7 linked regions of the Macaca fascicularis genome follow. The protein of the gene in region 1 interacts with the protein of each later gene in a pairwise test. Links are inferred from orthologs where the notes say so. Each region holds a gene or a part of one and is shown in the gene's direction. Other genes may lie near its edges.

Evidence for each region.
Region 2: the proteins of CEP70 (region 1) and NOL12 interact in binary tests that used the Homo sapiens proteins (3 or more experiments, as listed by UniProt). The two-hybrid records come from large-scale screens. The link is inferred for Macaca fascicularis from reciprocal best matches to the Homo sapiens genes CEP70 and NOL12.
Region 3: the proteins of CEP70 (region 1) and SMARCE1 interact in binary tests that used the Homo sapiens proteins (3 or more experiments, as listed by UniProt). The two-hybrid records come from large-scale screens. The link is inferred for Macaca fascicularis from reciprocal best matches to the Homo sapiens genes CEP70 and SMARCE1.
Region 4: the proteins of CEP70 (region 1) and FAM133A interact in binary tests that used the Homo sapiens proteins (3 or more experiments, as listed by UniProt). The two-hybrid records come from large-scale screens. The link is inferred for Macaca fascicularis from reciprocal best matches to the Homo sapiens genes CEP70 and FAM133A.
Region 5: the proteins of CEP70 (region 1) and YJU2 interact in a two-hybrid assay, tested with the Homo sapiens proteins (2 studies listed by BioGRID and IntAct). The two-hybrid records come from large-scale screens. The link is inferred for Macaca fascicularis from reciprocal best matches to the Homo sapiens genes CEP70 and YJU2.
Region 6: the proteins of CEP70 (region 1) and ABT1 interact in a two-hybrid assay, tested with the Homo sapiens proteins (2 studies listed by BioGRID and IntAct). The two-hybrid records come from large-scale screens. The link is inferred for Macaca fascicularis from reciprocal best matches to the Homo sapiens genes CEP70 and ABT1.
Region 7: the proteins of CEP70 (region 1) and RBM10 interact in binary tests that used the Homo sapiens proteins (3 or more experiments, as listed by UniProt). The two-hybrid records come from large-scale screens. The link is inferred for Macaca fascicularis from reciprocal best matches to the Homo sapiens genes CEP70 and RBM10.

Annotation. Positions count from the first base shown.
Region 1 is NC_088376.1:41,338,911-41,342,902, reverse strand, and holds part of CEP70 (centrosomal protein of 70 kDa), read left to right. Parts: intron 1-984; coding exon 985-1,131; intron 1,132-1,301; coding exon 1,302-1,470; intron 1,471-1,959; coding exon 1,960-2,074; coding exon of another isoform or gene 2,075-2,087; exon of another isoform or gene 2,088-2,300; intron 2,301-3,992.
Region 2 is NC_088384.1:13,944,851-13,948,721, reverse strand, and holds the end of NOL12 (nucleolar protein 12), read left to right. Parts: intron 1-245; coding exon 246-388; intron 389-1,985; coding exon 1,986-2,083; intron 2,084-2,468; coding exon 2,469-2,631; 3' UTR 2,632-3,067; downstream 3,068-3,871. UniProt on the Homo sapiens protein: Multifunctional RNA binding protein that plays a role in RNA metabolism and DNA maintenance. Participates in the resolution of DNA stress and the maintenance of genome integrity by localizing to sites of DNA insults.
Region 3 is NC_088390.1:61,715,820-61,719,811, reverse strand, and holds part of SMARCE1 (SWI/SNF-related matrix-associated actin-dependent regulator of chromatin subfamily E member 1), read left to right. Parts: intron 1-3,116; coding exon 3,117-3,289; intron 3,290-3,785; coding exon 3,786-3,887; intron 3,888-3,992. UniProt on the Homo sapiens protein: Involved in transcriptional activation and repression of select genes by chromatin remodeling (alteration of DNA-nucleosome topology).
Region 4 is NC_088395.1:100,196,193-100,200,946, forward strand, and holds the start of FAM133A (protein FAM133A), read left to right. Parts: upstream 1-1,931; 5' UTR 1,932-2,412; intron 2,413-2,639; exon of another isoform or gene 2,640-2,895; intron 2,896-3,302; 5' UTR 3,303-3,375; intron 3,376-4,754. Other genes in the region: NAP1L3 (nucleosome assembly protein 1-like 3), read right to left, coding at 402-1,931.
Region 5 is NC_088393.1:5,001,374-5,005,365, forward strand, and holds part of YJU2 (splicing factor YJU2), read left to right. Parts: intron 1-961; coding exon 962-1,082; intron 1,083-2,173; exon of another isoform or gene 2,174-2,310; intron 2,311-3,992.
Region 6 is NC_088378.1:146,290,710-146,295,199, reverse strand, and holds ABT1 (activator of basal transcription 1), read left to right. Parts: upstream 1-1,547; 5' UTR 1,548-1,554; coding exon 1,555-1,795; intron 1,796-2,478; coding exon 2,479-2,675; intron 2,676-2,828; coding exon 2,829-3,209; 3' UTR 3,210-3,721; downstream 3,722-4,490.
Region 7 is NC_088395.1:47,252,481-47,257,070, forward strand, and holds the start of RBM10 (RNA-binding protein 10), read left to right. Parts: upstream 1-1,587; 5' UTR 1,588-1,811; coding exon 1,812-1,881; intron 1,882-4,055; coding exon 4,056-4,197; intron 4,198-4,590. Other genes in the region: NDUFB11 (NADH dehydrogenase [ubiquinone] 1 beta subcomplex subunit 11, mitochondrial), read right to left, coding at 822-1,028. UniProt on the Homo sapiens protein: Binds to ssRNA containing the consensus sequence 5'-AGGUAA-3'. May be involved in post-transcriptional processing, most probably in mRNA splicing. Binds to RNA homopolymers, with a preference for poly(G) and poly(U) and little for poly(A).

The DNA of each region.
Region 1 (3,992 bases):
TGTTGTTGCTCAAAGTTTCAGATTTTAGAGCATTTCAGATTTTTAGATTAGGGATTCTCAACCTGTAGTAGATGTTCAGTAAATATTTGTCAGTTGATCAGTTTAGAGCTCTAAACTTTCAGTAGCCTTGCCCATTGTGCACAGTTTAAAATCAATTAGGGCACCACAACTAGGCCAAGAAAACTGAGTATTATAATGTAGAATAAATTTGGGGAACCTTTCACATTGAAAACTTGCCTAGAGATACATGTTATAACATGGATAAATCTCAAAAACATTATGCTAAGTGAGAGAAGCCATTCATCAAAGACTACTTATTGTATAATTCCATTTATGCAAAATGCCCAGAATAGGCAAATCCTTAGAAATATAATGTAGTTTAGAGATCAACCCTAGGAACTGCAGGGAAGGGAAAATGGGGAAGGAGGGACTGTGACTGGGTCTGAGATTTCTTTTTGGAGTAATGGATATGTTCTGAAATTAGATAGTGCTGATGTTTGTACATGTGTGAAAATATTAAAACTACTGAATTGTATACTTAATGAGGGTAAATTTTATGGTATATGAATTACATCTCAATAAAGCTGTTATATAACATACTCAAAACCAAAATACAAAGGCAAGTTTATTCTTTGTGTATCAATAATTCAAAATAATGAAATAATATGGAACAATAATAAATAACATAAAATTACTTAGAGCACCCAGATTCAGAATAATCAGTGTATAATGTTTTCTGTAAAGCCTGTGTTTACCTGGAGAAACCTAATTTTAACTGACTTGTTCTAAATCGGTAATAGTGTTTTTATTAAACAATACTGATGGTTATATATATATAATTTAACCTGTGTAATTTTTTATTAATTTTATAACACATATATAAAACTTATAATTTTGTTATGTTCTATTATGTTACTATTGAAATTAATTTTCAATAGTATTATTTTAAATCAATAATACCATATAGTTTCTTTTGTTATAAAGGATTTGTATAAGTCCTTGAAAACACTATCTGCAGAACTGGTACCTTGGCATAATTTGAAGAAGCAGGATGAAAATGAAGGTATCAAAGTTGAAGATTTGTTGTTTATAGTAGATACTATGTTGGAAGAAGTTGAAAATAAGGAAAAGGTAATACTTACATAAATGGTCACATTCTAATGTTCTCTTATCTCAAAAATTGATAATTTGATGTGGATATTAATATTTGTTCTACTAGAGTTCTGTTTGTCTTTTAAAAGTTTTTATTTGGGATTATTTTAAGATATGAACTCTTTATTTTTTACCTCTCTTTTGGACAGGACAGCAATATGCCAAACTTTCAAACTTTGCAAGCTATTGTCTCTCACTTCCAAAAGTTATTTGATGTGCCTTCTTTAAATGGAGTCTATCCCCGAATGAATGAAGTTTATACTAGGCTTGGAGAAATGAACAATGCTGTGAGAAACCTCCAAGAACTCTTAGAATTAGGTGATGACCTAGTTTGTCATTTTTGGCCCCCATTTAAGAATTTTTAGTAAATTAACAAAAAGTAGATAATTTTTTTTTTTTTTTTTTTTTTTTTTGATACGGGGTTTCACTCTTTTTGCCCAGGCTGGAGTGCAATGGCATAATCTCGGCTCACCGCAACCTCCGCCTCCCGGGTTCAAGCGATTCTCCTGCCTCAGCCTCCCGAGTAGCTAGGATTACAGGCACGCGCCACCATGCCTGGCTAATTTTGTATTTTTAGTAGAGACGGGGTTTCTCCGTGTTGGTCAGGCTGGTCTTGAACTCCCGACCTCAGGTGATCCACCCATCTCAGCCTCGCAAAGTGCTGGGATTATAGGCGTGAGCCACCGCACCTGGCCGATAAAAAAATTTTTAAGTGAAAAAAATTGAGGATAACTGAAGCATAAAATGTTTGATGTATGTAATTTTGAAAATTCTCTGTTAAAATATCCTTTTATTTCTCTTTTGCAGATAGTTCATCTTCATTGTGTGTGCTGGTAAGCACTGTTGGAAAACTCTGTAGGCTGATTAATGAAGATGTGAATGAGCAGATTATGCAGGTATTAGGACCTGAAGACCTCCAGAGGTATTTGTTTTAAAAGTTTACAAAGTATCATCCAGAATGGCCGGGCATGGTGGCACACGCCTGTAGTCCCAGCGACTTGGGAGGCTGATGTGGGAGGATCACTTGAGCCCAGGAGTTTAAGTCCAGTCTGAGCAATGCAGTGAGACCCTGTCTCTAAACAATAAAAATAAAAATAAATATTATCCAGAATTCATGGAGGGGTGAAATTAAAGACTTTTAAAACTTATTTACCTTCCCTGTTTGGAATAGCATCTTTTCTGTGTGTATGTGACTATAGGCACACACCACCACGCCCAGCTAATTTGTGTGTGTGTGTGCGTGTGTGTGTGTGTGTGTGTGTGTGTGTGTGTGTGTGTGTATAGAGAGAGACAAGGTTGCACCATGTTGCCCAGACCAGTCTCAAACTCCTGGGCTCAAGTGATCCACCTGCCTTGGCCTCCCAAAGTGCTGGGATTACAGGTGTGAGCTACCGTGCCCAGCCTTGGAATAGCATCTTTTAAGTAACTTGACAATCTAAGATAATCTCAAACCCTTAGGGATGGAGGAAATGCCAAGTATTTTCAAGATAAAAATAGATTGTAAAGCCTATAAAGAAGGTCAGGAACTCTTCAGCATAAGCCTGTTCTCAGGGAATATTATATATGGAGAAATTCCAACTTTGTTAGCAACATCATGTAAGTTCTGATCGTATCAATAAGTCCTATTTTTAGGACACTACCATAGACCACTGAATAATCATTAATAGCATATTTATTTGATTAGAAGATAAATGCTAAGGATTTTTTTAAAAGACTAGGCATCTCTAACATAAACCTGGTATTTTTAGAAAATTATCAAAACCTTGTAGCTATAGTTAAAGCAACTTTCCCCACACCTGACCCCCAGTTTTATATTACAGCATATGTGAAGGGAAACATACAATGTATACCACATAAACCACATTTTGCAAGTTTTCCTAGAAGAACCCTTACATAATCTGACAGTTGGTGCTTTTAAAAGGAACATATATCTTATTACTGGCCTATTTCCTCCGTCCCACAGTGTTACTGACTACTGAATTTTTTTTTTTTTTTTTTTTTGAGACAGAGTCTCACTCTATTGCCCAGGCTGGAGTGCAGTGGCTCAGTCTCAGCTTACTGCAACCTCTGCCTCCCAGGTTCAAGCAATTCTCATGCCTCAGCCTCCCAAGTGGCTGGGGTTACAGGCATGCGCCACCACACCCAGCTAATTTTTGTATTTTAGTAGACATGGGGTTTCACCATGTTGGCCAGGCTGGTCTTGAACTCCTGACCTCAAGTGATCCTCCTGCTTTGGCCTCCAAAGTGTTGGGATTGCAGGCATGAGCCACCACGCCCGGCCTGATATTTTTCCTTAATGTTTAATAGGATACTGGGTATAAAAGCCAATTATTTTTAGAAAATGCTGTAAAAGCATGGTCTCTCTAAGAAGCCTTGAGCTTAATGGAAAGTTTGCCATGTTAAGAATGTTATATATTGGCCGGGTGCAGTGGCTCACGCCGGGTGCAGTGTAATCCCAGCACTTTGGGAGGCCAAGGTGGGCAGATCACAGGTCAGGAGATCGAAACCATCCTGGCTAAACACGGTGAAACCCTGTCTCTACTAAAAATACAAAAATTAGCCGGGCGTGGTAGCGGGCACCTATAATCCCAGCTACTTGGGAGGCTGAGGCAGGAGAATGGCGTGAACCCAGGAGGTGGAGCTTGCAGTGAGCCGAGATCACACCACCGCACTCCAGCCTGGGTGACACAGTGAGACTCCGTCTCAAAAAAAAAAAAAAAAAAAAAAAAAAGTTATATATGAATTTAACAAATTTTACATTGATATTTAAATGCTTTTTAAAGAAAAGCCATATTAGATTAACAAAAAGCTCAGAAAGGAAGGACTGTAGTAAATGATCA
Region 2 (3,871 bases), on another chromosome or scaffold:
GGCGGAGGGGAGGGACAGCTGTAGCTGTCATAGAGGGTTTGTCTGACATGGGAACCAGCTAGAGCATGAAGGAAACAGGATCATTCACAACATGCATCCGCAGACTAGGCTCTACAGCCAGTGACCTTGTGGATGCGCTCCACATCCACAGAGTAGAGGAGGCATTGCACTCCCGGGAGGGAGGGAGGCTGGAGCCTGGTCTCTCGTTCCCCTGGCTGACGCCAGGTCTGTGTCCACCCCCACAGAGGAGGCAGATGAGCTGGACCGGTTGGTGACAGCAAAGACGGAGTCGGTGCAGTATGACCACCCCAACCACACAGTCACCGTGACCACCATCAGTGACCTGGACCTCTCAGGGGCCCGGCTGCTCGGGCTGACCCCACCTGAGGTAGGTCCCAGTCTCAGCCCTGGGAAGAAGCAGTGTGGGGGCAGACTGGCTTCTCAGGGTTGCTCAGTGCTGGCCCATGTTGTGGGTACCCCACTGCAGGGGCTCCTTCCCTTTGGACCCTTCATTCCCTGCTTCTGGGGCGCTGCAGAGGCCAGCCCCACTGCTGAGCAGCTCAGGAACTTGGGCAGGCTCCTTCACCTTGCCTGCTTCCCTTTCTCCATCAGTGAACTGGGGGTTGCTGATGGTGGCACCTGCCTTGTGGGATTGGTGTGAGGATAAAAGTTGTTAATCTGTGTGAGTCACTTGGCGCAGCGCCCAGCCCTGTTGTAAGCTTCACAAAAGGTAGCTGTTTGTTGTGATCGTTCCCATTGTGCGATTTGCAGCCCTGGCACGTCTGTGTGCACTAAGTGGGTTTTCAACCTGTAGGTGGTGAATCATGAGTAGGTTGCAACCAGCATAAAAAAAAAATAATGTAATTGAAAATATCTGAAAGTATCATGTTAAATATTATTTCATGAGACAGCTGTTTCCATTGCAGTTGTATCTGGGTTTGCCTAAGAATTTATGGACATATATGCACACAGTTATGATATAAAACATATTTCCTTGAATGGGTTATCGTGTCCTTAAGTCCTGGAGCCACTCCCCATCACATCCATACTGATCTTGGGGCTGGGCACGGTGGCTCACGCCTGTAATCCCAGCATTTTGGGAGGCCAAGGTGGGTGTATCACCTGAGGTCAGGAGTTTGAGACCAGCCTGGCCAACATAGTGAAATCCCATCTCTACTAAAAGTATACAAATTAGCCAGGGGGCCAGGTGCAGTGGCTCATGCCTGTAATCTCAGCACTTTGAGAGGCCGATGCAGGCGGATCACCTGAGGTCAGGAGTTCGAGACCAGCCTGACCAACATGGAGAAACCCCGTTTCTCCTAAAAATACAAAATTAGCTGGATGTGGTGGCACATGCCTGTAATCCTAGCTACTCGGGAGGCTGAGGCAGGAGAATAGCTTGAACCCGGGAGGCAGAGGTTGTGGTGAGCCAAGATTGCGCCATTACACTCCAGCCTGGGCAAAAAGAGCGAAACTCCGTCTCAAAAAAAAAATTAGCCAGGCGTGGTGGCGTGCGCCTGTAATCCCAGCTATTTGGGAGGCTGAGGCAGGAGAATCGCTTGAACTTAGGAGGTGGAGGTTGCAGTGAGCCAAGATCGCACCACTGCACTCCAGCCTGGGTGACAGAGCGAGACTCCATCTCAAAAAACAAAACCAAACCAAACCATACTGATCTCACACCAGTCTTTCATTTTACGCTCATTCTTCTGCAAGGTCTGATACAAAGACAAGTCTTGTCCCCATTTTGCTAGGATTTTCATTCCTGAATGTTCAAGTACGTACTGGAAGCTTCTAGGGGCAGGAGAGGGTTTGGAAACAGGCCTTCCCCTGTGTAATCCTTGCTTTAGGACAGATAGACTGTTCTTCCATCCGAGGCCTTCTTTAGTCCCCTTCCAGGCCTATGATGCACTTGCCAGAGCCATGGTGGCTCGGGGTGTCCAGCCCAGGCCCCCCGAGCTACTGCTACCTGTCTTGTGCTTCTTTAGGGAGGGTCTGGAGACGGGTCTGAGGAGGCGGCGTCATCCATGGAGAAGCCAACCAAAGCCTTGCCCAGGAAGTCCAGAGACCCCCTGCTCTCTCAGCGGTGAGTCTTGGCCTGCTGCCTTCCCGGTCCCACCCCTCCTGGCTGGCAGTAGTGACCTGGCTCTTAGGGGTGGTGTGGAGCAGGTGTAGGGCCCGGAGCAGCCCTTTGCTTTGCCTGTCCAGTGATCCTCAGCCTCTCCTCATTGCCCCATCCTGTCCCACCCACCCCTGAGAGTGTCTGACCTCCGATGCCTTTCATGCCTGGGTGAAGGGCCTGTCTCTCTGAGTTGAGTTGCTGGCAAGCACTCTGGAGGTAGAGCAGGCCAACTCTGGCATGAACTTGGTGGTCCTGGCATTTGCAACCTGTCCTGACATCCCCTCCATGAGCCAGGTGGTGAGTCACTCCACAACGCAGTCTTAAACTGAGGCTTTCTGCCCATCCCCAGGATCTCCTCTCTCACAGCCTCACTGCATGCACACAGCCGCAAAAAGGTCAAGAGGAAACATCCCCAACGGACCCAGGACTCCAAGAAGCCCCCAAGGGCCACTCGTACCAGCAAGGCCCAGCGCCGCCGTCTGACAGGCAAAGCACGGCACAGCGGGGAGTGAGACCAAGAACCAAGCAGTGCCCCAGCCTAGGCTTCGAGGACCTGTCCTTTCTCAGCTTGGCTGTCCCTGTAGCCCAGCCTGCACCTAGGTAATGACTGCACAGCTCAAGGTTGGGAAGCCAGGAGCTATCTGGCCTGGGGCCAGCTGCCTTTGCCTGGGGTTTGAATTCTAGAAGGAGCAGGCAGCGGAGAGCAGGCCTCCCCCAGGAAGAGCCTTCAGAGCCTTCAGAGCCACGCTGGGGCATCTTCCCAAATGTGCACCCCACCTGGCACTCATCAGATTTCTGGAACTCATCAGAGAGTTGTGTGCTTGTGATTTGTTTGTCCGTGATACCACGCACACGGCAGGTTTCTGGGGTGGTGGAAATGGTCGGGGCCCATGGGTCTGTCTCCAGCAGTTTGCCCTGTGGCTACAATAAAGTCCAGTTCTCCCTGTGTTTTATTTATTTATTTATTGAAACGGAGTGTCGCTCTGTGGCCCAGGCTGGAGTACAGTGGCTTGATCTCAGCTCACTGCAAGATCCACCTACCGGGTTCCACCATTCTCCTGCCTCAGCCTCCTAAGTAGGTGGGACTACAGGTGCCCACCAGCACGCCCAGCTAGTTTTTTGTATAGCTCTCCCTGTGTTAAGATACTAACCAGGGTTAAGGATCCGTGTGTCCATTGCTAGAATCCAGAGCCCACCTGCTGCTCTGAAAAGCAGGCTTCTGAGGCCAGTGGGGGAGCAGTGCCCCCCATGCCCTTCACCGAGGAGCCTCTGTGCCTGTGCCTTGTCCTGGGCCCCAGGAGTCTCCTCAGCTGACACTGAAGTGGTAGAAGCAGTCGAGTCCCAGGTCATTCCCCATCACCACACTGGGGCAGCGTCCCCAGACTTCCAGTATCTCCCAGGCAGGGCCTAACATGGAAGGATTAATTAATTCTTTTTAAAGCAATTGCAACCCAGCTCAGTGGCTCACGCCTGTAATCTCAGCACTTTGCGAGGCCGAGGCGGGCAAATCACTTAAGGTCAGGAGATCGAGACCAGCCTGGCCAACATGGTGAAACCCTGTCTCTACTAAAAATACAAAAATTAGCCGGGTGTGGTGGCACACGTGTGTAATCCCAGCTACTCGGGAGGCTGAGGTTGGAGAATCGCTTGAACCCTGGAGGTGGGGGCTGCAGTGAGCTGAGATCATGCCATTGCACTCCAGCCTGGGCGACAGAGTTTGACCCTGTCTCAAAAAAAATGAAAAAATAAAGC
Region 3 (3,992 bases), on another chromosome or scaffold:
TGGGAGGTGGAAATGTATGTCAAATGTACATAAGAGAAAGGTGGCATCTGCATGAAGTACAGCAGCTACTGACTTCTTTAACAGAGGACTATCAAAAGATAGACATGACCAGGCGCCATGGCTCACGCCTGTAATCCCAATACTTTTAACTAAAGCAGGAGGATTGCTTGTGGCCAAGAGTTTGAGACCAGCCTGGGCAACACAGCAAGACTCTATCTCTACAGAATACTTAAAAATTAGCTGGGCATGGTGGCTTGTGCCTGTAGTCCCAGCTGCTCCAACTGAGGCTGAGGTGGGAGGATCAATTGAGCCCAGGAGTTCGAGACTGCAGTGAGCTATGATCATGCCACTGCCCTCCATCCTGGATGACAGAGCAATACCCAGTCTCAAAAAAAAAAAAAAAAGAGGGCATGTGCAATTATCTACACAAGACAATGAAGGCTTTTGTTCAATGAGAGCCTCTTCATGGGATAAATAGCTGTTCAATTAGATCATAATTAGAAAAGCCATTCCCCGAAAAAAGGAAGCAGATGACTTACATGCAAGGAAGAACAAGCCCAAATTCTTAGACCTTATTACCCCATCTGTGGTCAACACTGGGGCCATATAAATGAAAGAAGAAAATAAAAAATAACAAAAACAGATAACTTAGACAGACGTAGCACAGATATACCACATATAACCCTAAAGGTGAAAAACTCTTAAAAAGTAGAAAGATTACAGAGTTTTTAAAAAACTGTATCTTACCTAATAGTTTTAATTTCAGAAGTTTATTTCCTAAAGGAATTACTCAAAAGGAAAGAAAAGTAATTTTTTTAACTTTTTACAAAAACAACAGTTTTTAGCTATAGTATTTATGATAATGAGAATTTTAGGAACTGCTTAAGTGCAAGACAATAAGAGAGGTGCTAAACTGACATAGGAGCACCACAAAGGCCTCTAACAGGGTTCCCTCTAACAGGCTTTCCTCTGTAACAGGCTTCCCTCTGTAACAGGGTTTCCTCTGTAACAGGGTTCCCTCTGTAACGGGGTTTCCTCTGTAACAGGGTGTCCTCTGTAACAGGCTTCCCTCTGTAACGGGCTTCCCTCTGTAACGGGCTTCCCTCTGTGACGGGCTTCCCTCTGTGACGGGCTTCCCTCTGTGACGGGCTTCCCTCTGTGACAGGGTGTCCTCTGTAACAGGCTTCCCTCTGTGACAGGGTGTCCTCTGTAACAGGGTGTCCTCTGTAACAGGCTTCCTTCTGTAACGGGCTTCCCTCTGTAACGGGGTTTCCTCTGTGACGGGCTTCCCTCTGTGACGGGCTTCCCTCTGTGACAGGCTTCCCTCTGTAACAGGGTGTCCTCTGTAACAGGCTTCCCTCTGTAACAGGCTTCCCTCTGTAATGGGGTTTCCTCTGTGACGGGCTTCCCTCTGTGACGGGCTTCCCTCTGTGACGGGCTTCCCTCTGTGACGGGCTTCCCTCTGTGACAGGGTGTCCTCTGTAACAGGCTTCCCTCTGTGACAGGGTGTCCTCTGTAACAGGGTGTCCTCTGTAACAGGCTTCCTTCTGTAACGGGCTTCCCTCTGTAACGGGGTTTCCTCTGTGACGGGCTTCCCTCTGTGACGGGCTTCCCTCTGTGACAGGCTTCCCTCTGTAACAGGGTGTCCTCTGTAACAGGCTTCCCTCTGTAACAGGCTTCCCTCTGTAATGGGGTTTCCTCTGTGACGGGCTTCCCTCTGTGACGGGCTTCCCTCTGTGACGGGCTTCCCTCTGTGACAGGGTTCCCTCTGTGAAAGGGTTCCCTCTGTGACAGGCTTCCCTCTGTGACAGGGTTCCCTCTGTGACAGGGTTCCCTCTGTGACAGGCTTTCCTCTGTGACAGGGTTCCCTCTGTGACAGGGTTCCCTCTGTAACGGGCTTTCTCCTCTGTAACGGGCTTTCTCCTCTGTAACGGGGTTTCCTCTGTAATGGGGTTTCCTCTGTAACAGGGTTTCCTCTGTAACAAGGTTTGCTCAAGTATGGTTCCTCCCTGTCTGGTGGGACACTGAGGTGATTAAGTGGGTCAAAAAGGAGCATTTGTTTTGTATGTATTGCTACAGAGAAAGCTTTTTTTTTTTTTAATGAGTTAGTTTAAAGAAAAATATTAAGTAAACAATAGTACAGGCTGTTAGTAGATATATGAAAAACTATGAAGGCGATAGAGCAAAGACTGAGATTAAGGAAACACTAGATACCTATTAAAAATAAGCATATAGGGTGTGCGCAGTGGCTCACACCTGTAATCCCAGCACTTTGGGAGGCCAGGATGGGCGTATCATGTGAGGTCAGGAGTTCAAGACCGCCCTGGCCAACATGGTGAAATCCTATCTCTACTAAAAATACAGAAATTGGCTGGGCATGGTGTCATGTGCCTGTAATTCCAGCCACTTGGGAGGCTGAGGCACAAGAATCGGTTGAACCCGGGAGGTGGAGGTTGCAGTGAGCCGAGATTGGGCCACTGCACTCCAGCCTGGGTAACGGAGTGAGATTCTGTCTCAAAACAAAACAAAACAGAAGCATATAAACCAGACCCGTACAGCTGGCTAAGTGTAAACTGACAAAAATTAAATTTGGAATCAAAACATTTATTTTTCTTCTATAAAATTCCTTGAGGGCCTGGGAAACTGAATATTGTTAGAGATGATGTTTCCTCTGCTGTGATAATTTTACGAATTGGCATTTTCATAAAGTCACTGCCCAGTTCATATGTTGTTCGTTAGTTGTTAAATGCCTTAAGTCACTACCAAGAAAGTGAAACATTGGGCAGAATTTCAATTACTGCCATCACATGCAGCCTTCACATTGATTCCAAAGCCAGAAGAGACATGTTGTATCTCATTTATGTTTTAGCCAAAGCCTTCTCAGACACACATCATCACTTAAAGACTGTGAGATAAATTACTACCTTGGCCAGTGAACACATTACGTCCTCTGTATGGTTTTTATCAAGTAACTGCCCAGTGCTCCCATGACGCTGGTCAGGTCCCCTTGTTAGGCCAGCAAGGGCCATGGTTCCTTGATAATTAAGTGTTAACATGTTACACTCCTTTTTATGGTTACTGGTGACCTACTTTGCAGAACAATTTGTTCATTGCAGATTATGATGATGGCTTTTCAATGAAGCATACAGCCACCGCCCGTTTCCAGAGAAACCACCGCCTCATCAGTGAAATTCTTAGTGAGAGTGTGGTGCCAGACGTTCGGTCAGTTGTCACAACAGCTAGAATGCAGGTCCTCAAACGGCAGGTCCAGTCCTTAATGGTTCATCAGGTAAAGTCATAAAACTTTCAATAAAATGGACCTATACCACAAATCCCAGCTGACGTGATTCCTACACCATGCCTAAATGTACCTGTTAAATATGTCAGTCTAAACTGTTCCTGATTTGGAGAAGAGGTTTAAGGAAGTGGACCTTTCCCAAATGTTTAATAAGTTTGTCATTAAAAACTATAATATAGAACCTTGTAATGGAAGGTATATTTGTTAAGAAGTACATGTGAACTTAAGAATTTTGAGGCGTCCTATCAGTCTTTACTGCTCTACTAAATACTTTTTCCAAAGGAATTGCTCAGGCCTGAAACAGTATTCTTTAACATTTACCTATTGATCATAATCATTTCTTTGTGCTGCATTTTGTATTTTTTAAATCTTAGCTAGACTCATGTAATAAATGATCTAAAGTTCAAAACATTATTTGGTACACTGTTTGAAAGTATGAACCATTAAAACAGGAGATATGATTGTAAAGCCTGATCCTGTCTTGCAGCGAAAACTAGAAGCTGAACTTCTTCAAATAGAGGAACGACACCAGGAGAAGAAGAGGAAATTCCTGGAAAGCACAGATTCATTTAACAATGAACTTAAAAGGGTATCTGTTTAATATGTTAACTATACTTTTATCACCGTACCTGTTACTTTACTTTTCCTCATTCTTTTTTCCAAAATAGTATTTTTATTGAATGTTGTTCACTTT
Region 4 (4,754 bases), on another chromosome or scaffold:
AAAGCACTTGCATTGGTACTTCATGAACTTTTTTTTTTCAAGCAAATATTTGTTTCAGTTAACAATTGTGACAGTTTCACAGCTACAGTCTAACAGAAACATGACCAAAGGACATCACAAAAATCAACACTGTAGCACCAAACTAACATGCTTTAGATAATTGACCACAGCTTACATATTTTGAAGAATATTATACTACAACAGTCTAGATAGAATAAACTGGCGCTTAGACACTTTTTAGGACAATTTTTAAAATACAGACTACCAAGAAACCACAAAAACATGACTATAAGGAATAAGAGTGTTCAGGTTACAGGTCAGGGTTTTACTTTTTTCAAGGCTGTATGAATCTGCTTCACTTCTTGAGATTTTAAGATTCTTGAAAGATCTTTCAGATTGACTTATTTTCTGTATTTCCTGTTTCCATAATGTTTGCCAAATTGATAGTAGGTACCATTGACTTCTCCAGTATAGTAATAGATTGATTTCAGGATGACATTATCATGTAAAATCTGCCCAATTTCAAAATCCTCATCCAGGATAGCATCTTCTCGTGGTTCCAGCTTCCCAATCATAGGAATCTCAGGAGGACTAAAGAAATTGAAGAATGATGCATTAGGAACCACTCTTGGCTGGATTTCAATTTCTCCAGTAGCAGTTGTGCGACTCTGAGTAGTTGTCACAGTAACATCTTTTCCTCTTCTCCAGTCTATCTTGCAGCCTTTGCAATCTTCAATTTCCCATCCCCAAGAAAAGAAGGGATCATTGTGATCTGGTTTTGACTTTATTATATATGTCTTCACCAGCACCTCATTTCTGAAGTATGGATTGGGTAGAAAATGAAATTCAAAGGTGTAACTTACAGGCTGGCCAGGTTTTGAGAACTTCAGGCTAACATCCGACAAGAACTTCAGAATGGGCTCATCATACTTCTGAATCATAGGCCCGAGCTTGTCAACATTCTTTAAAACAATCAGCCAATAGTCAGGAATGCCTTTAGGGTCTTCTCTTTTAGGCTTTCCCCTCCTAGCTCTTTTAAGATCTACACTGTCCTGAAGCCTTTCCTCAGGAACTCTTTTATGAGCCTCTCTTACTGCAGCCCTTGCCTTAGCCTCTGTTGCTTTAGGCTGTTCTTTATCATCTGCCTTTACCTGGGGGGCTTCTTTAGGATCTTCTTTTACTTCAGGGGTTGCCTCCATACAGTCTGCTTTAGAATCTGCTTTTTCTTCAGCCTTTATCTCAGGGATTTCTTTAGGAACTTCCTTTTCTTCATCTTTTACCTCAGGAATTTCTTTAGGAACTTCCTTCTCTTCAGCTTTCACCTCTGGGTTTTCTTTAGGGGTTTCTTCTTCCTCACCCTCTAAGGGAGGCATTTCACTAGGGGTGTTATCCTGCACCTCCTCATCACTGCTGAACTCCTCATCCTCTGAATTCCATTCACATTCTTCTTCTGTAGGCTCGTATTCTGCATTGATGATTTGAAACCGCCTATCATATAGAGGCTTGTTGAGTTCAGCATATTTTCTTTCAAGATCATGAATTGCTTTTAAGAACAGGGTGTCTACCTTGTCACATTCTTCTTGAATGTTTCTAAGCGCTTGCACACGATTTCTAACTGCCTGAGGCAGCCTATCCACGAAATTTGTTCCCAAGGGGGCCCGCCGCGCCCTGCTGGAAGGCTCAGGTACCCTCTTCTTTCTATATAAGCGGCTGCGGCTGCTAGTGCTGCCGCTGCTGCTGCTGCTGCCGCTGCCGCTGCTGCTGCTGCTGCTGCCGCTACTGCTGCTGCCGCTGCTGCTGCCACTAGTGCTGCTGCTAGAGCTACTGCTGTCAGATTCTTCCCCAGAATCACTAGTCGAGCTAGCCATCTCCTCTTCGGCAACCCCATGGGCGACGGGTTCCGAGACCATTTTAAAATCTGCTTCTGCCATCTTGCAAGCCTGAAAAACTCTACCGCGGAGACCGCGCGACCAGAGATGGGCAGAAAATGACTCACGGATGCTTGAGTGGCGGCGGCGGAGGCCCGGGCTGCGGAGGTGGCAGCGGCGATGGCAGCAGCGGCGCAGAGCGGAGCTGGAGCTGGGGATGCAGAGGCCGGCGCTGAGGTGGCAGCGGCAGTGGAGGCCTGGGCGACAGCGGTGGCGGCAAGGCCTCTCCCGGCTGCAGCTACACAGTGCCGAGATGTACCGCAGCCGAATGGCGCAGTATGAGACCCCGAGATCTCTTCTCGTTTTAGATCGCGAGCCCCCTCCCCTCGCAGTCAGACCTCCCGTTAATTTCGTTCCCAGTGTGCCTTTAGTTCGCTCCTCATTTGCTGGTCCACCTTAATTGACAAACCGTACGCCCAACGAACGGCCAAACGCCACTACTCCTGGCTCCGCCCACCTTCCCAGACGCTGCTCGCCGGCTGAGGTGCGACCCCCTGGAAGGTGTCCCCGAGCCCCCCAAAAAGTCTATATTTATAGTTTTATAATTAAAAGAGGAAAAAAAAGCGTAGACATGAGGTAAAAATACCAGCCATAGTTCCTAACAAGGGCAGAAGAGGCGTGTCTTCCTTCTCCCATCCGCCCATCCTGAATTCCCGTTTAGTTTGTCACGGGTCTCTTGACAAAAATCTGTAAAAGAAAAAAAAAAAAATTGAATGAAAATGGTCCAAATGGCGTCATTGGGTAGTGTGACTGTGGACGATTTAAAAACAAAACGATTTTCTCTAAATATTCTATGAGCAGTATTTTTACACTGGATAAAAAAGGGGAGAGTCGGTTATTGGCAGAGGGGGGAGGGACTAGACAGCAGGCGTATTGCATTCCACGAAGCTGATTTAATAAGTGCTGTCTGTGATGTTTGGCAAGCCTGGTTTATATCCATCTACAAGGTTTGCGAACCCATGTTGCCGTGAGTCAGTTACACCATTTTTATTATATTTCTCTTTTTAGGCTGGCATATTATATACCCCAACCTTGCTGCTAACTTGCCACGTAGCCCTTCTCAATGCTTGCAACAACCTTGTAGATAAAACAAAGAGTGTATTAAATGTTAGGTAGTATTGTTAAAAAGCAAATGATTTGCGTTATACTTTTGTGCAGCAGGTTTCAATTCCAAGAACAGTGGGATGGGAGGGGGAATTTGTGCTAATGAATGTGCATCTTCTGTCAGTGTATGCGATGTCATCTGCCACCAATTTCCTTCTAATGTTGTAAAATTCTAGCCATACTATAGTATGATTTACAAGTCCAGTAATATGTGAATAAACTTTTGCAAAATGAAGTTTAAAAACGGGTATTTGTTATTTTTATTTACAGGATTTTTTTTTTCTGCTACAGAACAACTACCTTGGTACAATAAAAAAGACGAGTATTTACTTTTCATTGAAAGGTAAGGATCATATTTAGCACATTTTAAAGAATGACAAAAATTACTCATCTCCATCTGAATAAAAGTTTACAGGATGCAGTCATTTAGAGATTTATTTTAGATAATAATCTTGATAATTCTATGGAAACAGGAAAATCCACAGAGGTAATTTGGCATACTAATGTAGACAATAGCCTACTTAACCACATTAACTATCTTAACCTGGTCATAGAATACAAGTTGTAAATTAAAATATGAAATATGATAAATTATTCATTTCAAATGAGGAACTGTATTAAAGTTAGATTAATCTTTATAGAATTTGTGCTTTGTCATGTAGTCACGTTTTTAAAAGTTATGAAATGCTTTTCTGTCTCATAAATGCATTTACTTTTATTGCATATCTCTAATTGTCAAAGTCTGTGAACATTGCAAAGATAAAACCTCAATACAGAAAATTCCAACAGTAGTAAAAACACACAATCTTAACCACCAAATGATAAGAATTACTAGCATTTTGATGCACTTCCTTCTAGAAATTTCCTTGTGCATATACATACCTGCCTATTTATGTATACTGCTTTATCTATGTGATACCATATTATGTTTTGTAGTCTTTTCATTTAATTTATCAGTTACTAATGGCTATATTTTCATGGCAAATGATCAACATCTTATTTTTAAATAAGTGCATATTCCATGGAAATAATTGCCTTAATTTATTTGAACAGATTCCTCTTATAGGGTGGCTATTTCTATACCATCTCTCCCCTTATATACATACTATTTTCCTGCTATAATAAAAGTGTCCCTGGATACCTAAAGCATATATTTCTATGCACTTCTGAAAATTGGTCATAAGATAAATTCCTAGAAATGAATGGCCTGGGAATGATCATTTCATATTATGGAATTATTATTGTATACATATTGCCAAACTCTCTGCAGAATGATTATCACAATTTACAGTTCCAACAGTGCATAAAGGTTCATTTTTTTTGTCATTCAGCTAATATATTTTTGTGCCTGTCGTATGCTGGGCAAATGTGGTAGAGAATTGTAGTATAATGGTGAATGAAACTTACTAAGTGCATATCCTTTCGATGAATAATTTTAATCAAAGCATATGTTATAGAAACAATGATTTACATCAATGGTGTTATACCATAAATATTGTTCTGAGACTCACTATTTCTTTTTAAATTATGGAGATTTTACAAAAAGTATGCTCTTATGTTTTAAACTTTGTAGCATCAGGAATTAGTATTTTAGAGTGAGTCATGAGGTAGGGATCCAGATTTTTAAAATACTTATTTTTATTAGCTAGCTAATTCTTCTAGTACCATTTATTTGGTAATCTTTCTATCTCCTGCTTACTTGAAATGCTACTTTGATCACAT
Region 5 (3,992 bases), on another chromosome or scaffold:
TGCCTGTAGTCCCAGCTACTTGGGAGGCTGAGGCTGGAGAATTGCTTGAATCCAGAAGGTGGAGGTTGCAGTGAGCCAAGATCGCACTACTGCACTCCAGCCTGGGCGACAGAGAAAGACTCCATCTCAAAAAAAAACACACACACACACACACAAATTAGCCAGGCATGGTGGCAGGCACCTGTAGTCCCAGCTACTCGGGAGGCTGAGGCAGGAGAATCGCTTCAACCCAGGAGACAGAGGTTGCGGTGAGCCAAGATTGCCCCACTGCACTCCAGCCTGGGCCACAGAGCGAGACTTTGTCTCAAAAATTAAATGAAATGAAAATTAATGAGGCATAGGGACACACGCCTGTGGACCCAGCTACTCAGGAAGCTGCGTGGGGAGGATCACTTGAGCCCAGGAGGTGGAAGTTGCAGTGAGCTATGATTGTGCCACTGCACCCCGCCTTGGGTGACAGAGTGAGACCTTGTGTCTTTTGTTGTTGTTTTTAGACAGAGTCTCGCTCTGTCGCCCAGGCTGGAGTGCAGTGGCGCGACCTCGGCTCACTGCAAGCTCTGCCTCCCGGGTTCCCGCCATTCTCCTGCCTCAGCCTCCCGAGTAGCTGGGACTACAGGCGCCCGCCACCGTGCCCGGCTAATTTTTTGTATTTTTAGTAGAGACGGAGTTTCACCGTGTTAGCCAGGATGGTCGCGATCTCCTGACCTCGTGATTCACCCGCCTCGGCCTCCCAAAGTGCTGGGGTTACAGGCGTGAGCCACCGCGCCCGGCCTAGACCTTGTCTCTTTAAAAAAAAAAAAAAAAAGACAGTAATCTGTGTGCCCCCACTCCCTCCCACCCCTGCTCATTGGGGACAGAAAGAGGTCTCTAGGCACCCAGGCTCCTCGCCACCCCAGCAGGCGCATCCCAGGCCCTGTTCCCCGTGCAGAGCACGTCCAGGTTCCCATCTTCCATCCCACAGAGCCCTGTTGGAGGAAGCCAGAAAGCGAAGGCTGCTGGAGGACTCCGACTCAGAGGATGAGGCTGCCCCTGCGCCCCTGCAGCCAGCCCTTCGGCCCAACCCCACCGCCATCCTGGACGAGGTGAGGGGGGCTGCCTGAGTCCCGGGGACTCCCAGGTGAACTAGGGATAACTGAAGCCAGGGGTCAGCTTGACTTTTTCTTTTGTTTGTTTGTTTGTTTGTTTGAGACAGAGTCTTGCTCTGTCACCAGGCTGGAGTGCAGTGGCACAATCTCGGTTCACTGCAACCTCCGCCTCCCAGGTTTAAGTGATTCTCCTGCCTCAGCCTCCCAAGTAGCTGGGACTACAGGCGCCCACCACCACACCCGGCTCATTTTTTGTATTTTTAGTAGAGACGGGGTTTCACCATGTTGGGCAGGATGGTCTCAATCTCTTGTCCTCGTGGTATGCCTGCCTCGGCCTTCCAAAGTGTTGGGATTTCAGGCCTGAGCCACTGTACCCAGCCAGAACTTGACTTTTTCTTAAAAGGCCAGTCTGCATCCTAACTCCTCCACTGTGTGGCTATAGCCCACAACAACCATGATCAGGTGTAAATAAGTGGGCGTTGCCTGGTGCCAATAAAAGCTTTATTTATAGGGTGGGTGCAGTGGCTCTTGCCTGTAATCCCAGCATTTTGTGAGGCCAAGGCAGGAGGATCACTTGAGGCCGGGAGTTTGAGACCAGCCTGGGCAACAAAGTGAGACCCCTTCTTTACAAAATTACAAAAATTAGTCATGGGTGGTGGTGCATGTCTGTGGTCCCAGCTACTTGAGAGACTGAGGCAGGAGGACTGCTGGAGCCCAGAAGGTCAAGGCTACAGTGAGCTGTATCAGTGTCACTGAACTCCAGCCTGAGCAAGAGCGAGACCCTGTCTAAAATAAATAAATAAAAATTAAGGCTGAGTACAGTGGCTCACGCTTATTAATCCCAGCTACTCGGGAGGCTGAGGCAGGAGAGTCGCTTGAACCTGGGAGGCGGAGGTTGCAGCGAGCCAAGATCGTGCCACTGCACTCCAGCCTGGGTGACAGAGTGAGACTCTGTCTCAAAAAAAAACTTAATTTACTAAAACCTGTGCCAGGCCTATGGGTCTGTAATTTGCCAACCCCTGTTTAAGCTGCTGAAAGAAGGGAATGTAAAGAAAGAACATGGAAGTTTATTTCTCAATCATGTAAGAGCCCTGGGCTGACACTCTAGGACTTCCGGGCAGCTCTGCTCCATGGAGCCATTCAGGGATTCAGGCTCCTTCCTTCTCCTGGAGCATGGCTTCCTGCACTATGTTCACAGCTGGCTCAGAGCACCTTCGGGGTCTGGCTGTGGGAAGGCAAAAGGTGCGTGGAGGACCACTCAGCCTCAGATGTGGCCCAGCTCAGTTCTTCTCTCACGCCATAGGCCACAGCACAGGCACAAGGCCCCATCTGGCTGCGAAGGAAACTGAGATGCGTCCTCCAGCTGGTCTGTGCCTGGCTGTGCTGCTAACTAGAACGAAGGGAGGCCAGGCGCCGTGGCTCAAAGTGCTATAATCCCAGTACTTTGGGAGGCTGAGGCAGGCAGATCATCTGACATCAGGAGTTCAAGACTGGCCTGGCCAACATGGGGAAACGCCATTTCTACTAAAAATACAAAAATTAGCCGGGCATGGTGGTGCATGCCTGTAATCCCAGTTACTCGGGAGGCTGAGGCAGGAGAATCACTTGAACCTGGGAGCACAGGTTGCAGTGAGCCGAGATTGCACCATTACACTCCAGCCTGGGTGAAAGAGTGAGACTCCATCTCAAAAAACAAAAAAAGAAGGGGGGCAGGATCTTTGGCAGATGACCAGCATTTTCCACCACAGCTGACTCATCCAAGGTGGCCTCAGCCACTCTGGTTTGTTCATTGAAGAAGGTGGTAAAAGTAGGGGCTCATAAACCAATAACACAGACACACAGAAACGATTGTTCTTTTTTTTTTTTTTTTTTTTTTTTAAACACAGAGTCTTGCTCTGTTGCCCAGGCTGGAGTGCAGTGGTGCAGTCCCAGCTCGCTACAGCCTCAACCTCCTGGGCTCAAGCAATCCTCCCACCTTAGTCTCCTGAGTAGGTGGGACCACAGGCACACATCACCATGCCTGACTAATTTTTCTTTTCTTTTTTCTTTTTTTAGACAGTTTCACTCTTGTTGCCCAGGCTGGAGTGCAGTGGTGTAATCTTGGCTCGCTGCAACCTTCGCCCCCCGGGTTCAAGCGATTCTTCTGCCTCAGCCTCCCAAGTAGCTGGGATTACAGGTGCCTGCCACCATGCCTGGCTAATTTTTGTTTTTTTTTTTTTTTTTTTTTTTTTGAGACGGAGTCTTGCTCTGTTGCCCAGGCTGGAGTGCAGTGGCGCGATCTCGGCTCACTGCAAGCTCCGCCTCCCGGGTTCACGCCATTCTCCTGCCTCAGCCTTCCGAGTAGCTGGGACTACAGGCACCCACCACTACACCCGGCTAATTTTTTTGTCTTTTTTGGTAGAGATGGGGTTTCATCATGTTAGCCAGGCTGATCTCGAATCCTGACCTCAGGTGATTCAACTGCCTCGGCCTCCCAAAGTGCTGGGATTACAGGCGTGAGCCACTGTGCCTGGCCCCTAATTTTTCAAATTGTTTTTGCAGAGATGTGGTCTGGCTGTGTTGCCCAGGCTGGTCTCCTGCTCCTGGCCTCCAGCAGTTCTCCTGCCTTGGCCTCTAAAGGCACAGGGATTACAGGCATCAGCCACCATGGCTGACCCCAAGACAGTTTTCTAAAAGATCCTTTCTTTGAAGCTATATCCCCTGATTCGAGTTCTCACACTGTGGTTCTTGCATAAACCACTCCCAGAATTCATTGTCTACTACTTCCTCTCTCTTTTTTTTTTTTAAATGAATCAACAGAGTAAAGCTACTTTGAAAGCAGTCCAACCTTTTATGATGTATTCCCTCAGTCTTGTGCCTGTACCTGATTTTATCGCAGGTGTTTTATTTGGTTTTACATGATACACC
Region 6 (4,490 bases), on another chromosome or scaffold:
TGCTAACAAGGGTTGCTTCACGGACAGTCGAGTGAGACTCAATTTTCACCAAGTTGAGGAGGGATCATGAGGAATGTGGGGAACGGGATTTTTATATCCCTCCCCTCTTCAAAAAAGGAGCAGTGTACACCTGACAGAAAGTTCTCTTCAATAAAGTTAATGAAACAGGAGTATTTGAATTCGAAGAATCTATTATTAGACTTTTAGACACTCCATGAAAGAGTGTGGGCCCTGTTACTTTAGAAATATACTTGGGGACTGGCAAAAACTGTCATCCCTGATTTTAATAGTGGACACATTTACTCCCTGCTTCCATTCTCTGGGCTACTCTGCGCTCTTGGAGCGAGATGGGAAATTTTGTCAGGCCGCAGCAAGGGCGGATTTATACTGATGGTCCTCAAACTTGCCCCGGGCTGCTTCCAGAAAGCTAATCGGATTATTTGTACTCGGTTCCCAGCAATATCCTTTGCAGTCAGCTTGTCGCTGGCGCGGATCGCAAGAACTGAAACGCCTTAAGGGTGGGGACGGCGCCCCCTGCTGGTCGCGCCCTCGGGCGACGGTAAGAGATTGAGGACTCGAGCCCGCGCGGGGAAAACGGCTATGGGCTTGGCTTAGGGATGGTTCGCCTAAGCCTGGTAGGAGCAGGACCGCCGGGGCCTTGTCCGTTCTGTGGTTACGTAGGTCATAGAAGGAAAATTGGTTTGTGATCTGATGGGGAATCTGTGAGGACAGACCCAGGGAGGGCAGAACTAAGCGCACCGCCGGGGGGGTCGCCAGAATTGGAGGCGTGTGCGCCTCTGACAAGTATTTGCAACGTAAGTATGCATATGGATAATGTATCAATACACATGTGTAATAGATGCCAAACAAATTATTCAAATAATTGTCACACATTTAAATTTTCAGACATTCACAAAATCAAATGTAAAATATTAAACTGAAAGTTCGCAATTTAAATTTTCAAAAATTAAATCTAATTTCCAAAATTAACCGTTTTCAAAATTAAATTTTAAAATATTCAAAATTCCAAGGTAAATTTCCAGAAATAATTAAAACTTCAAAACTCAAATCTTTTAAATGAAATGTATAAACTTTAAAAGGTGAGTCATTCCTCAGCTGGAATCGCAACCAGGGCCCTCGAATAAAATGCTATTTTGATCGCTAGAACACACAGAAACTTCCCTAAAACTGCTCTACAAAATTCCCTAAAAACCCGGCATCAACCCGCCTTTAGCGGCGTTCTATAGGGTAGGTTGTATCTGGGGATCTGCCTTTTCTGGTTCTGCCTGTCCTGAGTTGGAGATGTAACAGGGAATCTGTGAACCTAAAACAAGCTTCCTATCCCGCTTCCACGCTCTAAATCTGGCTTTCCACCTGACACCCCACTTCCGCCCTCTCCCCTCGGCCTTCCCCTTGACCCGACTGCATCGCCAATCATATCCTTTCATTTGTCATCACCGCCTTGGCCCCGCCCCCTCGTCTCAGGCCGTCGCACACGTTTTGCGTCAGTAGGCAAGGCACTTTACGGCCGTCGTGCCGCTCATGTCAGTCAACATGGAGGCAGAGGAATCGGAGAAGGCCGCAACGGAGCACGAGCCGCTGAAAGGGACAGAACAGACACTAGACGCGGAGGAGGAGCAGGAGGAATCCGAAGCAGCGGCCTGTGGCCGCAATAAGCGGGTAGTGCCAGGTATTGTGTACCTGGGCCATATCCCGCCGCGCTTCCGTCCTCTGCACGTCCGTAACCTTCTCAGCGCCTATGGCGAGGTCGGACGCGTCTTCTTTCAGGCTGAGGGTAAGTATGCAGACCCTGACGGTGAAAGGAGGAGGTTGTCGCTCGCTGGCGGGGTGCAAGCATGGATGTCCTGTTGCTTCGCTGCGCAAGACTGAGGCACGAGTTGTTGGATTTTGGGGGTGGGGAGTGCGGTGCTCGGCTCCTGGCTGGTGAATCAGTCTGTGAGGATGCTGGGGTGGGTGGGCGGAGGGGATATGGGGAGAGTGGGTAGCGCAGTGCGTCTGGTGGTTCTTTAGTTCTCGGATTGTTACTATTCGTGTTCTTATCCCGGCCCTGCTCACCTCTCTTTCCGGATCTGTTTACTGGTTTGTTACATGAGTACAACAGAGTAAAAGCCTCGTTAGCTTTTCTACAAAACTGAACATACCCCTTTAGCATCGCGGCCTAGGTCAAGAAACTGATCAACCGCCCTTCCTCTTTCCACCCTCAATTTTACATTGAGGTTGGGGACTTGCGCGGGTGTTAAATAGCGTTCAAAGCCGGCCAGATTAAGGAGTGGACAATTAAGGAAATAATTGAGTTAGCTAGAGGAAAGGGTGCAATTTACAGTTCCCTCCCTCCTGGGCAAAAACTCTCAGGTGGAACTCCCGCTGGCAGATGTGAAGAACGATGCGGGCAGTGGGAAGTGGTTTTGAGTGAGTGCTGCATAGTCCCTGACGGGTCTTTTTGTCTTTGGCGCTCAGATCGGTTCGTGAGACGCAAGAAGAAAGCAGCAGCAGCTGCGGGAGGAAAAAAGCGGTCCTACAGCAAGGACTACACCGAGGGATGGGTGGAGTTCCGTGACAAGCGCATAGCCAAGCGCGTGGCGGCCAGTCTACACAACACGCCTATGGGTGCCCGCAGGCGCAGCCCCTTCCGTTATGATCTTTGGAACCTCAAGGTGAGGAGATAGATCTTTCTGCCACACCTCTCACCCTCCCTTCTCCCCAGCTCTGGCCCAGGTATACCCATGGCTTCTCATTGGTCTTGTCCCCTGTCTCATCTTTCTCCCTAATCTGCACTATCCTGATCTTTTCTTATTTTCTGCCCACAGTACTTGCACCGTTTCACCTGGTCCCACCTCAGTGAGCACCTTGCCTTTGAGCGCCAGGTGCGCAGGCAGCGCCTGAGAGCGGAGGTTGCTCAGGCCAAGCGTGAGACCGACTTCTATCTTCAAAGTGTGGAACGGGGACAACGCTTTCTTGCGGCCGATGGGGACCCTGCTCGCCCAGATGGCTCCTGGACATTTGCGCAACGTCCTACTGAGCAGGAACTGAGGGCCCGGAAAGCAGCACGGCCAGGGGGTCGTGAACGGGCTCGCCTGGCGACTGCCCAGGACAAGGCCCGCTCCAACAAAGGGCTCCTGGCCAGGATCTTTGGAGCCCCACCACCCTCAGAGAGCATGGAGGGACCTTCCCTTGTCAGGGACTCCTGAGGGCCAGGGTGGCCCCTTCCAGCTCCTAGCCCTGCTCTGCTTCCTGTCTACCTCATACTAGAATGATCGTGACTATCCAGGCAAACATTTTACTGTGTTTCTCAGACCAAGTGTCTCTGCTAAGGGCCCAAACGTGCAAGTTTTGAGGGCTTCCACTATCCTCACTCCGAACTCCTGTATATGCCTGGCTGAGTCACCTAGTTCATACTGTCATACTAGCATGATTATGACTATTGCATATGCTTGTTTTGTTTGACTCTTGGCTGCCTACGTCTATAGGGTCCCCTAAAAATCCCACGTTCTGCCCCCAGGAATGGGCCTTTATTTCCAACTAGGGGGATAATGCCTGCAATAATCCCGGCAATCTTTCTCTGTTTAGCAGTCACAGGTGAGGGTGGTATTAGCATCTTTTTTATGTAGAAAAAATTGACAGTTAATGGCGTGGACTGAGTTGGGAAGAAATACATTTCCTAATGTATTTATAGAAAATAAAAATATTTTTTATGCCTTTTTATTTTTGTTGGGGAGGGTCATTGGACAAGTTCCAGCTTTCATCTCCTTGTGTTCACCTTCATCTCCTGATCTTAGAGCCCCCCCGCCACCCACCTTACTGTTTAACCTGGATTTTTTTTTTTATTTAATTTCTGTCTATTATCTTAGCCCAGTTTATCAATTAGTTATCTTAAGTCAGCATTTTCTAAGCCATTGTTTGAGGAAACAATGACAATAGGTAATAACACATCTTAGTATTAAGAGTTTTACAGGCCACTAGTATAAGATAGGCATCGTGGTAGATGCATATACCGGGTGGAATGGGGGCCACAGCATGTCATAGAGCCCCTCTCAAGGGGGACGTGATTGATGATCACAGTCTTCAGTGGTGAGTCAGTCCTCACCAAGTTTTCCAGGTCATTCCTACAAAATAACTGTAAGAATAATAAGAAGTTTGAAAGAGTCTGGAGTGCTCCCACAATTGCAAACAATGCTTCCTGGGTGGAGTGTTGAGTTGGAACCATTGTAAAGGTGGGCAAAGCCTAGTAGAGAACCAGTGTGCCTCAGGTGCACTTGTATATAGTGGGGCTGAGGCAAAGGAGCCCTGTAGGCTTCAAAGAATCAGTGTAAGCTACTAAGAGGAACTGAAAACCTAGGTGTCACAATAAACAGTCTACACAGTTTCATGTAGACAAAAATTCTGATCATTTTCCAGACTGTTTCAGGAAGTGGTAGATGATTATGATTAGTATTTTGCTTGTGCTGTTTGTTTTTGTTTTTTGTCTGTCA
Region 7 (4,590 bases), on another chromosome or scaffold:
CACATGAGGCAGGTGGGGTGTCTTACTTTTTAGGTGTCCTATTACTGTTCCCATCTTACAGACAAAGAAACTGAGGCACCAAGGGTTTATGCCACCAAAGTCACATGGGTAGGTAACTGTCAGTGCTGCCTGATTTCACAGCGTCTGCTATTAATACAGCACAGCAGACCTGGTAGCCCTAAATTCAAATACCAGTTCCACCTCCACCATTTATTCAGTTATGTGAGCTAGGGCAATCTACTTAACAGCTCTGTGCTTCAGTTTCCTTATCTGTAGGATGAGTATAATAATAGTGCCTACCTCGAAATGGGGTTTGTTTTTAGGATAAGATGAGCTAATGCACATCAAGTGTTTAGAACACAGATGGGGCCCAGAGCGGTGGCTCCTGCCTGTAATCCCAGCACCTTGGGAGGCCGAGGCGGGAGGATCGCTTGAGCCAGGAGTTCGAGACCAGCCTGGGCAACAGAGCGAGATCTCGTCTCTAAAAAAAAAAGAACACAGACAGCAACGAGCAAGTACCATATCGGTGTTTAGTATTATCGTTGTTGTACTACTATATTGCTTCTAATGCGTTTTGAGCGCTGTCCACTTGAGGCGTGATTTCTGTCTGCAAAATAAAACCAGTCCTGCCTCTGGCCCTGGAACGCGGATATCCACAGATAAAGGAGGAACACAAGATAGGCAAAATTCCCAAGTCTTCTAGGCTTTCGCCGGCCGCGCAGGCCTCTACTGCCTAAGAACGTCCTCTACAGCGCCCCACCTGCCGATCCCGGATTGACCCCTTCAGGGTTCCGTCCCCCCCCACCCCCCCCGCCTCTTACCTTCTCATACAAGTTTTGGTCTTCGGGTTCTGGGTCCTCTTGCCACTGTGTGGTCGGTTCCAGGGCCCGCTTTCTCGCCACAGCGGACGGGGCGACCACAGTCCTGGAGAAGCTAGATTCCCAGCGGACGCGGGCGGCCGGGAGCCCTCGCGTTGCCGCTGCCGCCAAAAGACGGCGAGCGCTCAAACCAAACAGCCCAGCCGCCATGACAGATGGTGCTGCAGGGTCTGAGGGGCGGGGACGGAAATGCGACTGTGCGCAGCTGCAGTGGGTGAGAGCGCGACAATTATCGCTCCGCCTCCGCCATGCTATATAGGTCCCAGATCTGATTTTGTTTTCCAGTGAGGCGGGGCGTTGAGCAACCCTCTTTGCCTCCAGTTGTCGTGGCTTCGTGGGGCCAACCATTCTCTCCCCCTTTCGGCCAGGCTGAGAAATTTCTTATTGATGGATCTGCTCATTTCCTGGATAGGAAGAAATCGGTGACATTGGGTGGATATAGTTCCCAGCCAATCGCCCAGAGTTCCCTCGCCCTTTGGGGAAAGAGGTGGAGCTTCCGCTAGTCTTTCATCTTCAAAGGAAATCAAGCTTCTAAAAAGCGGGCCCTGCCGGATTGGCCAATAGCTACTTCTTTTCTCCACTAGGGGAGCGTTCGCACGGGTGTGGGGAGGTGTGGGGAGGTGGCCAGCGCTTGCCAATCAGAGGAGGCCAGGGCTGTCCCCTGGCGGGCGGTGACCAATCGCCGGGGCCGGCCAGAGCGCGCTTCCTTAGTAGGTGGATGGTGGTCGGAGCGCCGACTCCCTTCTCGTCGTCGCCATTTTGAGCTGGTGACTGGCCGGCTGGGAGTAGGCGGCAGTGAGTTTCCTTGGGAGGGCAGCGCGCTTGGCGCTTCTCCCCTCCCCCCGATCTGCCTGCAGTCTCGGACTTGGTAGTTGCGCGCTCCGGCTCCGGCTGAGCTGGGAGAGTTGGAGGAGGTGGCGGCGGGCCGAGGTGATGTCTGGGAGCCCTCCCTTGACAGCCCGGGCCGAGAAGGTGAGCGTCGACGCTGGTCGTGGGGGCGGAGGTAAGGGGCCCGGGGCGGGGACGTAGAGGAGGCGCGAGGGCGGACTTCGGGTCGGTGGGATGCGCGGAACGGAGGGGTTCGTGCAATGTCTGTACCCGGGAGGGGTTTTTTTTGTTTTTTTTTTTTTGGTGGTTTTTTTTTTTTTTTTTTTTGGTGTGAGCAAAGGCGCGTGCGCGACTGGGACATGGGATGGGTGCGTGCGGGTTGGGGGAAGGGAGGGACGAATGGGAGTGGGCTACTGTGGATCACTGTGTCGGCTACACCGAAGTTTATCATTGGGGAAGCGGTTGTCTGCGACTTGTGCATAGGAGAGGGGATGCTGCTCTGTGTTACTCTGGTGTTTATCGATCCATTGGGAAATATTCTGTGGTTCTGGTCTTTATTCCTGGGGGATCAGAGGGAGGATGTGGCTCTGGTCTTTACCCTTTGAGGGAGAGTGTCTGTGACTCAGATCCTTATCCATGGGGCGGGGCTTGGGGGACGACTGTCTTGTGATTGACCCTAACCCACTTACTGGGTGGGGAGGGGGATGCAGGGAATGTGTGTGTGACTCATTGCCCCTTCTTTTGGGGAGTTTGTGAGAGTGACGCTCATCCATGGAAAGAGGACCTAGTGTGTAATTGTGGTCCTTACTGTGGATTCCTTCTGTGATGTGGGCCCGTAGTTATTTGGGGCTCGTGTCTGTGACTGGCCCTTGGCTGTGGTGGATGTTACTGTGTGACTCTGGCCCCTTTGCCAGAGTCTCTTGAGGGTTTTTGTGCTCTCAGCCGCCAGTGCCTCTGGTGTGATTCTAACTCTTGCCCACCTGGGAGCAGGTAATTCGGGTTCCCTGTGGCTTGAGGAGGAAGAGAAAGTTGGAATGTGCGTGTGTCTGTGTGTGTGTATGTGCACGCGCATAGAGCAAAGGCGTGGCAGCAACCTAGTGTTGGGCAGGTGCTATTTTTGCCTGGCTTTACCTGATTCCTGTTCAGAGGGTGGAGCCTGAAGATCTGGGATTCATCCTGACCTCTGGCTGGGTCACAGGGTTCTCAGGACTCCTTGAGTTCTCACCACAGCCCTGAGGGTTGGATGAAGTGGCTGCTGCTCCATCCCAGTAGAAGAGCACGGTGGTTCAGAACAGCCTCCAAAAGGGCCCCTTTTGCCTCTGGAAAACGGGCTTGAGCCCTGGGGAGGGAATCACCTTGGGACCTGGCTGCACATAGGAGACAGGGCTCAGGGCTGAGCCAGTTGCTGTGTGAGGGCCAAGGCTGTGTTGGCCAGGAGCCCAGGGAGGTAGCAGCTGTCTCGTTGCCAAGTTAGCCCCTTCATACACACCCCCAAGAACCTTTCATGGTCTTTTGCTGCCTTATAGGGGACAGCCAGCAGCTTGTTGGGAGGATGAGATGGTCCCTTGGGGCCCATGGAAGGAGCCTGGTGGGTGCCTGGGGCTCCCATTGTTGTGAAGTCTTGCCTGATGTGCTGAATCTCAGGCAAGACTTTCAGCCCTGAGAGTATCCCTACGGCCACCCTGGGATGCAGCCCCAGGCTTGAATTTGTCTACCTGTCTTAGGTGGCAAAGCCCTGATCACACCGTGGGTGGCCCCGCCAGGTCTCTCTGCAAGATGCCCCTTGTCTGCTGAAGTCTTTGCTGTTTTCTTTATTTTTTTATTTATTTTTTTTTTTTGAGACGGAGTCTCGCTCTGTCACCCAGGCTGGAGTGCAGTGGCCGGATCTCAGCTCACTGCAAGCTCCGCCTCCCGGGTTCGGGCCATTCTCCTGCCTCAGCCTCCTGAGTAGCTGGGACTACAGGCGCCCGCCACCTCGCCCGGCTAGTTTTTTGTATTTTTTAGTAGAGACGGGGTTTCACCGTGTTAGCCAGGATGGTCTCGATCTTCTGACCTAGTGATCCACCCGTCTCGGCCTCCCAAAGTACTGGGATTACAGGCTTGAGCCACCGCGCCCGGCCGTCTTTGCTGTTTTTTAAGGCAGTGGGCTCTAGCCTCATGTTTGCGGGGAAAGGGAGGAGCAGGCCAAGTAGGGGCTACCTTCACACTGTGATGCACAGGAGTGCTGGGAGCTAGAAGACAATGTCCCTGGGCTAAGGGGCGGCAAAGAGCCTTGACAACGAGGGTTTCTCAAGGAGGCCTTCTCTGTCCCAACTGTTTTGACCCCTTTTTTCCCTCTATTCTCCGCAGAGTCCCTGCAGGAAGCATCACCCAGGCTGGCAGATCATGGTAGCAGCAGCGGGGGTGGCTGGGAAGTGAAACGGAGCCAGCGGCTGAGGAGGGGCCCCAGCAGCCCCCGAAGGCCCTATCAGGACATGGAGTATGAAAGACGGTGAGTTACCCGTTCCCAGCCTCCCAAACAGCCTAGGCTTGCCTCTATGTGAGAATTGATCCAAGAAGGTGCTAGGTTGGGGCTTCTGGGTAGAGGAAACAGCAATAGCAGATGAGGAGTTTCTTTTCAGCAGACAGGTATTTGGCACCTGTTGTGAGCCAGGACTTGTGCTGGGCTCTGAGAGTGCAGTGATGAATGAGACATGAGATTGTATCCTTCTCAGTACTCATGGTGTCGCAGTGAGGCTATGCAGTTAACAGGTGGGAGGTTGAGGTTGGGGCTATAGCCTGGGGTATGAGGGATGGGTGGGAATGGCACCATCAGAGTCAGGATTTGCCCAGTACCACTAGGGAACAAGTCAGGTTAGATAGTGGGAGATTCCAGGGACAGTAT